Kluyveromyces lactis: one gene and its partners. The protein of the gene in region 2 interacts with the protein of the main gene of each other region in a pairwise test. Links are inferred from orthologs where the notes say so. Each region holds a gene or a part of one and is shown on either strand. Other genes may lie near its edges. The genes, in order: SNF1, SIP5 and MMS2.

Region 1 (3,717 bases), on a different chromosome or scaffold from region 2:
TTGCAACTTAACTCAGCCCTAATACTCAACTCATACTCAGTTGTCCGTCGGACTTTTTCATGGTAACTGATAGTCTCATGAGCCACTCGTCATGCGCAGCTTCTGCCTATTCCAATTTCACTAAATATTGTCACGTGACCCTCTTTGATCCATCTAGGCCTTCCCTTCTGGATACCACAGGATCCATATGCCCAGTCACTGACGTCTTGGAACTCTGCCGTGTGCTGGCTAGCTCACATGACCCTTCGTCTGGCCTGTCTTCAGTCTATCTTACGAAAACTACAACAAAGTAGCATCGGTGGTTTAGTGGTAAAATCCAACGTTGCCATCGTTGGGCCCCGGGTTCGATTCCCGGCCGATGCATTCTTTTTTCATGTGTCAAAAACATGTATGTTGTTTTCCTCTTCTTCCCGGCGAGTGTTGTGAGCTAAGAGTAATTTCTCATATAATATAGTGATTGTCATTATTTAATGATATGTATATAAGGCTTAAACTTTAAGCAAATATTCAAACTTATATACACTCTTCGTTGGATATTATCCGTTAGTATTTTTTTAATTTCATGAACCTTAAAATCAACTTCCTTGGCTATTCACTGCAAGTTCCATAATCAGCCTGGTTGCTAAATGTAGAAAGGGGTATGCACTGAACGTACTCATTTCATCGTCGTTCCGACTTGAATACACTACACCGTTACTGGACTCCCAGCCATCAAATTTGAAATCCACTAAGTAGTTATTTGTCTCAATTTGGAACAATTGGATTACCATCTTCATTAAATCTGGAATCTGCTTGTTCTTCATTTCGTCATCAGGCATATCGATATTATATCTCCAACGGACTCTAATAGTCCATAGGTCCTCTTCTGATGGTTTCGCCCATTCGGCTCCCAAGTTTTTCAATGCAATGTATATTTCTCCCATAACGTCTAATGGATAGGATCTTGATCGTATACCGAAATGCCACCTTGTTTTTGATTTTTTCACGCTTAATGGTGAAATCTTAGCAGCAGCCTGGGACCCTTGTGCTACCATGTTGGCTCTATGGATCTGTGGTAACGAGCTAGGTAAAATTGCAATCGTGCTGTCTCCATCCTGAGAACCATTTCCATAATGATATTGATATGTACGTTGCTGTGTTCTCTTTGAATGGCGGTGTGAGTGTCGATTTTTTGAGCCCGGGGGGGCATGCAAGGATTGTTCGAAAGTGGGTGGAGATTGCGATAAGAAAGTATCCAAGTCATTAGATTGTTGCTTGTTCACCTTGATGTCGTTGATTAAATTTCTGTTCTCTTTAATTAACTGATAGGCATCCCTGATTTCATTTAAAGATGGATGATCTTCATCGGACTCTAAAGCCTCATATATCTCATCTACGTCATAACCCATAGTGTTTGATAGCGTTTGAACTAACGAATCATCGATCAGTTCGAGTGGCACGGATGGGCCGCCATCTTCTGTTTTGCTTTCAGAGTTTTCTTGATGGGTGCTTTCAGCAGGAACTAGGTAGTCGGGTAAATCAACTTTGAACCATTCATCCTGCATGATTTCATGCACGGTAATTCTATTAACTGGATTGACGATGAGCATCTTTTTGATTAAGCTCGCAGCACCTTGGGAAAGGAAGTTAGGTATGGTGTAAACACCATTGCTAATGTTCTTAAACAACACTGGGATACTTTCGTCATCGAATGGTAACCTACGACACAACATGACGTATAAGATAACCCCTGAAGACCAAACGTCAACCTCTGGACCTGCATATAGTTTACCGCTGATGACTTCTGGGGCCGCATAATTTGGAGAACCACATGAAGTCTTCAAAAAGTTACCATCTGTCATTATATTAGATAAACCAAAATCAGCAATCTTAACGTTCAAATGTTCGTCTAATAGTAAATTCTCTGGTTTCAAATCTCTATGCACAATTTTATGACGGTGACAATAATCTACTGCGCTAATAATCTGTTGGAAAAATCTTCTTGCTTCTTGTTCAGGCATCTTGTCTCTTTGGACAATATAATCAAATAATTCATTACCAGCATACTCAATCACCATGATAATTTCGTCCTTCGATTTGATCACGTCATACAATTTGATAATGTGTGGATGTCTCAACAAACGTAAGTACGAAATCTCTCTCTCGATTCTACCTTGCATATCACTCTTGGCTAGAACCTTCTTATTGATGATTTTTAATGCCACTTTTTGTCCCGTAGAGATATGGTACGCCAGTTTCACTTTACCAAATGATCCTTCACCCAAGGTCTTGATGATTTGATACTTACCGATATGTTGGCCTTGTGCGTGGTTAGTCAGCTGGCGTTGGTGATGGCCTTGACCTGAGCCACCATGCGGCTGTTGTTGATTTGGGTCGTGCGACATATCTTCTCTGATGAGTATGTACTCGTAAATGCTTCACTAAGAGTTTGCGTTCAACAGAGGGATATCTTGTTTACTCTGAGAATAGTTGCTTCTAATTGAGAAGTTGACTAACTTGTTAGAAAACTTGCAATTCTTATACTAGTGTGACGTTTCTGGAGTCTCACAAAACCCAATTCTATCCGCCCTACAATTACGCATTGATCCTTCTTTTATTGTTGATGTTCCGTATATGACAAGTTTTCAATTTTATCATCAAAATGTAAACGGCGTAGAAATCGTTGATGATGACTGATACCTTATGTAGGAGACCGTACTGGGACGAGTCCGGCGAATTGACCATTTTCAGTCACCAATCCTGTCACGTTTTACGAGAGGATTCAGACAATTCACGAATCCATTCTTCACTACGTCAATATGCTATGACACTACATTAAAGTACATCACCACTCGATAAGTGGCTATTATATACGAACCAAGATGTATATATTACATCTTTAATCTTCCCCAATTACTCTTTTATAATTAGGAATAACGTTAATATCGTATTTTCCTCATTATAAACTGGTGATTCCAAAATTCTGCTATCTATGTATTAGTTTCAATCACTACTGTCACTGGAGTAAATATCGATGACTGCGGCAGGATCGTAGAATGATTGTTGGCTAAAATTTGAATGCTCCATATCGTCCTCGTCATCCGTCCAAGAGTCCGTTGCAATATGTTCAGTCACAGGCATCTTTGAGCCCAAATTGAAACACATCAAGCGATTCCTTACTATCATTGTGCTTTTTAAATTGGAACTAGCAAGAGAAAATCTATCATCTAAAACACGCTTACTGATTGAGAAGCTCCTTTCGACGTCAGCAGTTGAGAGCTTAGTGTGGTAAAAGGCAAGAGCCAGACTGCACAATGCAGGAAATCTTGATTGGTTTTCAAGCCAATAGCTCAAAAAATCCTTCTCTTTCTCCAATGGTTCCCCCAAGTATATCTGCCACTCATCCTTAGGCGCAAAATGGAATTCTGAAATGTTTCTATCCAGATATGCAGATAGGTTTTTTAATAATTTTGGCTTCTTAACACGATTGATATTCAATGGTTCAGTTGGTTTATTGTGCGAGCGAATATCGGAAGTTTCAGTAAATCGTTTGCAGTAACTGACAACATAACTTGTTGCTGATTCAATGACATCCTCTTTGAACGATTGCTCAAAGGACCTGTTCAATAGGTCAGTCTTACGGTGAGGTTGTGAGATATGTGCCACCCAATATCCTGGTTCTTTGAACGCAAAGTCCATGTATTTTTCAAATTTGGGGTACGAGGCCATGACCGCAGA
Region 2 (3,457 bases):
AACAAATGCCATCATGTGTAAAACAAATACTTTTCCTATCGAAATGTTAAATGGTTACTCCTGTAAGTTTTATTGATATTTCACATCTCATCGTGGAAAGGTGAAAAATTTCAGGAAAAGCTGCGTGGTTTCGTCAGGCATGATAATTCGTGTGATGTGATATAATGTTTCTGCATGAAACGCTGGATGTACAGAGTCAGCGTAGATGTACAAGGGAGAATCCCTGATATTGAGTCGGAGTGAGTCCGCAGATGGGTGCTATATTCCACATAATATTCTATGTTTTATAAACATATATATACTCGCGCGCAGTGTTACTGATGAGTGTACCTTGTATCTTAAGGTATGATGCGAAAGTTATGGGATTGTTAAAAGATGCATGCAAAGTGAAGTAATTTGCGAATGTGTTGATTGTATCTGTCGTTAGTCGTGAAGGTAATGAAGGAGACAGCAGTGCAGGAGAAAATGCTTTCAGTTCATGAAATAAGCTCCAAATTAGGTTAATGATCCTGCAAACTTAGTTTGATTGCTTGTTGGAGCATTTCGTCATCCAGTTCTTCTAATGTTTTCTGACGACGTTGAGGACTATTCCCTCCGTCAGGGCCTCCAACTGAAGAAGAAATGGATGCGTGTCTAGAAGGGTGTTCGGGATCAATTAATTGATTACTCATGTGTATTGCAGTAGCTTTTGCTGATCTTCTAGCGAGTCTTAATCTTTCTTTGGTTAGATTGATCTCCCAGTCAGGTCTTATAGAATCGGATGTTATCACAGACGGATCATCGGCTGCTATTGAGCCCCTACGAATTTGTTCTATAGTTACGAGTTCGTCATCTTCATTGCTGCTAGAATCCGATACTAGGCCTTCACGGTCCTTGTATTCGGCAATCTTGTATTCGGAAGCGTAGATCCCGTTGATTCCAGTCCGCACGTCCCTGCGCGGTTCGTATGTTACACCAAACTCTGCAGTGGCACAGTAAGGGCAATTGGCAGGTTCACTGACAAGAAGGTTGGGATCCTTCAATTCGTCCGGTTCTTGATCTTGAGTTGGATCTACCTCTTCATGCGGGAAGTGTGGTGCGGCACGCTTGATTTGGACGAAGCATTCAGTACAGATCGGTTGCTTGCAACATCTGGAAATATTCAAAGGCTTAGGAAAGTAGAGGAAACATATTGGACATTCTGCTCCATTTTTGTACAAAGTATATTTCAAATCATCACTGGGTAAAGCCGGGTTCTTTGCTTCCGTATGTTTTTTGTTCATAAGTTTCAGCTCAAGATACCGTTCATTTGCCCTCTCCTGCCAACCAACTCTTTTGAAATATAACCTTGCCTTAGAAATTTTCGACCTTTGCCTTCTTTGTTCCCTTTTCGAAGCGGTACTATCCAGTAGATAGTCAAATTCGTCATCGGCTAAATCACCGGTCGGAACTCCCTCAAATTCTTCTGGGTCCTGTTGAAATGAACAATGCAAAGGTAACCCATCAACAATTTTTATGACCTCTTCTCGAGTCCAAGTCTGATCAAATTCTTGCAATGGTGTGTAAAAGGGAGCCAACCTCCTTTCTATAATTAAATTTTTAACTATATCTGCTTCATAGTCCAACTTATCGAAATTATAACATCCAAAAGGTGCTAAAAACCCACCATCCACAGTTTCGTTGTACTTGACCACAAGTTGTCTAGCATGCTTCTCTTTGAGCTTCTCCTTCTCCTTCAAAGACTTCTTCTTGTACGGATTCGGACTGTTGCCGTTGTAACCGTTAGCACTATTATAAGAGTCTGATCTCGCTCTCCCACTAGCACTTAACAAATTTCCTACCAAGGAAGTAGCCCTCCTATTCCGGTTAAGATTTTTTGGGCCCTGAGATCCAAAATTTAAAGACTCTGACCGTTGCTGCTTCCTATTTGCAGGGTCTTGAGGGCTATCAATTTTACCTGGAACATTTCCCATGGCTGGTTTAGATATTAGTGTATATATCCCTCTGTTTCTGATCCTATTAAATTCTGAGGTTCTTCACTTATAAGCGGTAAAATAATATCTAACTTTCCACACAACGCTAACCGGATACTGTAACTTCTGAAACAATGTATACGCAATATAACTAACACACCTTGTTATATGACTCAGTTAATCTATTGTATCTGTGAAGTTAGAAAAAAACCGTTCCTGTGTTCTCCCTATATAATGGAGTTTTGTCTCCTATAGAAATAAAGGGACGTTTTTCTTATGATGGAATTTTTGATTTCAAACCAATTTATTGCTTTATATAGCGACAAAGAGAAACCAGAACATTTGATATAACACATAGTGAAAGCCTCCTGTCTAATCCCGAACATGCATAAAAAAGTCCGAGTGACGAACTGGGAGTTAACAATCTCCAACCTTGTTCGGTGGAAGATATGAGATGTATATATGTATGTAGCTATTATCCCGAAATTCATTTCGGTCGAAAGCGTCACGATACGCAGGCATATGGCATTAAGTTGGAGGTAGAGTACCGGAAATTCTGTCTACATCGGGATACGCACTGTACTGTATTTCTAAAGTTTATGGATAACAATACAGGAGTTTTGATAGTGACACTGAAAAAAGATGTAACTTACATATGGGTATTTGGTATAATAGTGTGACTCACACAGTGAAAGAAAACTAGGTTGAAGAATAGTTGGACCAGGTTTTTGGATAGATTCACTTATCATTCCTTATTATTTCTTAGGTATATATCTTTACATTAGGAGCGAGGCGAAGTTAATGAGATATGAGCCGGGTTTTCATCAATGCTGACCGAGCAGAAAGTAATGACAGCTGATAAGCTTACAGCAGATGCTCTACAATGCCGAAAAAAGACGTACATATATATATCTACTTACTGGGCCGGAATTTGTGAGTTACTAAGAAAATCTTACTACGTTGATGTTAATGTAGGACCCTTAACTCGGCCTTCTATTTTTGACTTTCCTGCTGATATTTTAGTTTCGATCACTTTGTTAATAATATACATTTACGCGAATAAAAACAGCTTAAAGGTTCAAAGTGTCAAAAAAATATTAGGAAAAAAGGAACTGATTTGCTTGACACATAACTGTTATGATGAGACATGGAGTTTTAAAGAACAAGTACAGAGAAGAGGTGGCACAATACGTCTACGTATGTGCCGTTATATAGTCGTTAGAATACTTAGCACAGCTGAAGCCTTCTCAGAAATGGCCTTCAGCCTTTAGTAGAACGGTCATATCATCAACAGACTTGGTAACTCTTTCCACAATGGTGGAGACATCGTCTTCGGTGATGATGAATGATGGTGCCAACAAAGCAATATCACCAGAAACACCGTCGATGTTTCCTTGCATACCCATGACAGTAATTCCATTTTCGAAACATACATCTTGGAAACGGTGACCAACGTCAAGCTTGTATGGGAATGGTTCCTTTGTTTCTCTGTCCTTGACAAATTC
Region 3 (2,379 bases), about 270 kb from region 2:
GTAAACTCTTTTCGTTAGGAAACAATTTGAAATAATGAATTCTTATGATTCATTTATATGAAAGTTCACTGCAAAGTCTTCCAAATTGAAAGTTTCTCTGGATGAAAGAAACAGTCGAAAGAAGAGTGTTAGGAGCAGGACCAAAATGTAGACCCCTTTTGTGCGTGTGACTCTGCGAAGAAGAGTAAGAATCGGAACGGTTGACCTAGGCCTTTTTCTATTTACAGGCACTTGGGCGAAAAAACCGGCTTTACTATCGATCTGGTGGTGGTTGTAAATCTGGTGGTTTGATGAGAAATTCAAACCAGCAAATCTCTTCGAACCTTGTTTGAACTAATTTACTTAGAGAACAGTGCAATTGAGTGGATCATGATCTAAAACAGGACCTGACTTCTCTTAAGCAAGATGATACTTTTGAGTGGAGGGCACATCGGCAGGCGTTGCTTCATTATACATTGGACAATATGCTTATTATGCGTACGAAAACTTTTGGGAGCCCAAAAGGGCCCCCAAACCAGTTGCGCCAAATACACAACTTTATACTTATTTACTCTCATGTGTATATATACATTTAGTACCTGCTGTAATTTCACTCAAACGTCGTTCCCTCTTGTGGTTGTAACAATTTTTTGTTCGATGGTGTTGCCATTTCCTTACGTAGCTCCAATAAGACAGTTTCCATGGTATAGGATCTTTTCCATTCCTTCAAAGTATGGAATTTCTCTTTGACGACCTCTCCGGTGGTAGAATTGACACATGGCAGGTTGATCTTCGATACGAATTTCACCTTAGGTGGTTCGTCTGGATATGAGGGCCCGCATTCGATGAGCACTGAATATATTCTGTTTTCATGGTTGCTATGAGGAGGACCAAGTATGGTACCGTTCCACTTTGTCATTGTGATATCATCGGAGTCAGAAAGACCATAGGAACAAGATTCTGGACCCAGTCCTTTTTCTCCCTTCTCTAGCTCTTCTAGTAGTCTGAAACTTCTTGGTCTAGTGAAATATGTATGCCATAGTGCGGTTAGTAAAATTCTGAAAGGGTTGTTATAGGCATGGGTATCGCATGAAAGTAAAAGAATTCGAATGAACGTACACTTTAGACATAGTAAGAACAGTCTGGTTAGTTAGCGGTGTGAGCTTTTGATCCCCGTCCCCTTTCTTGATCATCTTTAAAGGGGATGATTTAAACGTTTCTTCATTTCATTCTGATTTTATAATTTTATAGCGAAAATCTTGACTTTGATCTTGATCCATTAAGTGATCTTAGGGGAACTTAAAGAATGCTTCATGCCAATAGTGTCTTGCAATTGTGTCAAACTCAATTGTGTATTATATGTCACTAACACCTCAGATAAAGGAAAAGCCCCTTGAATCGCTAGATGCAGATCAGTTGAGACGTCGCGTTTTAACGCTTCAGTACAAATACACAACCTTACAGAACGAGTATGAAATTTCGAAGTTGTCATCAGAACGCGAGACTTATTCGCTTCAGAACAAATACGATAAGAGTATGAACGAACTGGAAAATGCTTTGAAAGATACCAAGATACTATATGAGGAAAACATCAAGTTGAAGGAAGAATTGAAAAGTAAGGATGCGTTACCGAAGGAGGATGAGAAGATCATAACGACACTTCGAACACAGGTTGTAAGTTTGAAAAACGAAGTTAATTTGAAAGAGCAGCGTATCGTGGAATTAGCTCATAAGCTTTCCTCAAAACAAAATGAAGTTACGAATGCAATTGAATCGATGAAGTTGGAAATTGAAGGTAGCGGAAACATTCTGCATCAACATGAAACTCAGATAAACAAACATGTGGAAGAGATACGATATTTACAACAAGAACTGAAGGAAAAAGAAAATCTGATATCTGAACTACGATCAGTTCAAACTTCTGCGTCTCATAGGAACAATTCTACGGAAGAATTACAAGATTTGGCTGTCTTGAACAAGACTCTGAAGGAGCAGCTCAATTATGCCAAAGAACTAGAGGATATGAACCTTAAACAAGCCACTGAATTGAAGAAGCTTCGACAAAATAACGATGTCCAATCGTTGTTGAAAAAGGAAAATGAATTACTCCAGTCTAAACTCGATCAATTGAATTCTTTACAAAAAAAGTTCGAATCATTGGAAATGGAGAATATCAGCCTACAGGAGAAGATTACACAATGGGGTATTGTTAGGTTAGACGGTAAATTCAAGAACCCTAACGATGTTATAACAGAGCTTAATATGTTACAACGAGAAAATACTTTCCTTTTAGATACGAATTCCAAGTTACAAATTGATTTCAATCAAATGTCCATGCTCAACGATGAGATGGCAATTGAAAGAAACCAACTTCTAGATTTGAACAAAGACTATGAAACT

What was found.
Region 1: the proteins of SIP5 (region 2) and SNF1 interact in a two-hybrid assay, tested with the Saccharomyces cerevisiae proteins (2 studies listed by BioGRID). The link is inferred for Kluyveromyces lactis from reciprocal best matches to the Saccharomyces cerevisiae genes SIP5 and SNF1.
Region 3: the proteins of SIP5 (region 2) and MMS2 interact in a protein complementation assay, tested with the Saccharomyces cerevisiae proteins (2 studies listed by BioGRID). The link is inferred for Kluyveromyces lactis from reciprocal best matches to the Saccharomyces cerevisiae genes SIP5 and MMS2.

What each region holds. Positions count from the first base shown.
Region 1 is NC_006037.1:338,232-341,948, forward strand, and holds SNF1 (AMP-activated serine/threonine-protein kinase catalytic subunit SNF1), read right to left. Parts: upstream 2,385-3,717; coding exon 576-2,384; downstream 1-575. UniProt on the Saccharomyces cerevisiae protein: Serine/threonine protein kinase essential for release from glucose repression.
Region 2 is NC_006041.1:1,967,793-1,971,249, forward strand, and holds SIP5 (Sip5p), read right to left. Parts: upstream 1,953-3,457; coding exon 501-1,952; downstream 1-500. Other genes in the region: KLLA0_E22089g (uncharacterized protein), read right to left, coding at 3,200-3,457. UniProt on the Saccharomyces cerevisiae protein: May negatively regulate the SNF1 kinase by promoting the interaction of the REG1/GLC7 phosphatase complex with the kinase. Deletion of SIP5 promotes resistance to artemisinin, which is probably an indirect effect of an action on the electron transport chain.
Region 3 is NC_006041.1:1,702,128-1,704,506, forward strand, and holds MMS2 (E2 ubiquitin-conjugating protein MMS2), read right to left. Parts: upstream 1,110-2,379; coding exon 1,099-1,109; intron 999-1,098; coding exon 590-998; downstream 1-589. Other genes in the region: coiled-coil domain-containing protein MAD1, read left to right, coding at 1,339-2,379. UniProt on the Saccharomyces cerevisiae protein: Has a role in the DNA error-free postreplication repair (PRR) pathway. Lacks catalytic activity by itself. The UBC13/MMS2 heterodimer catalyzes the synthesis of non-canonical poly-ubiquitin chains that are linked through 'Lys-63'.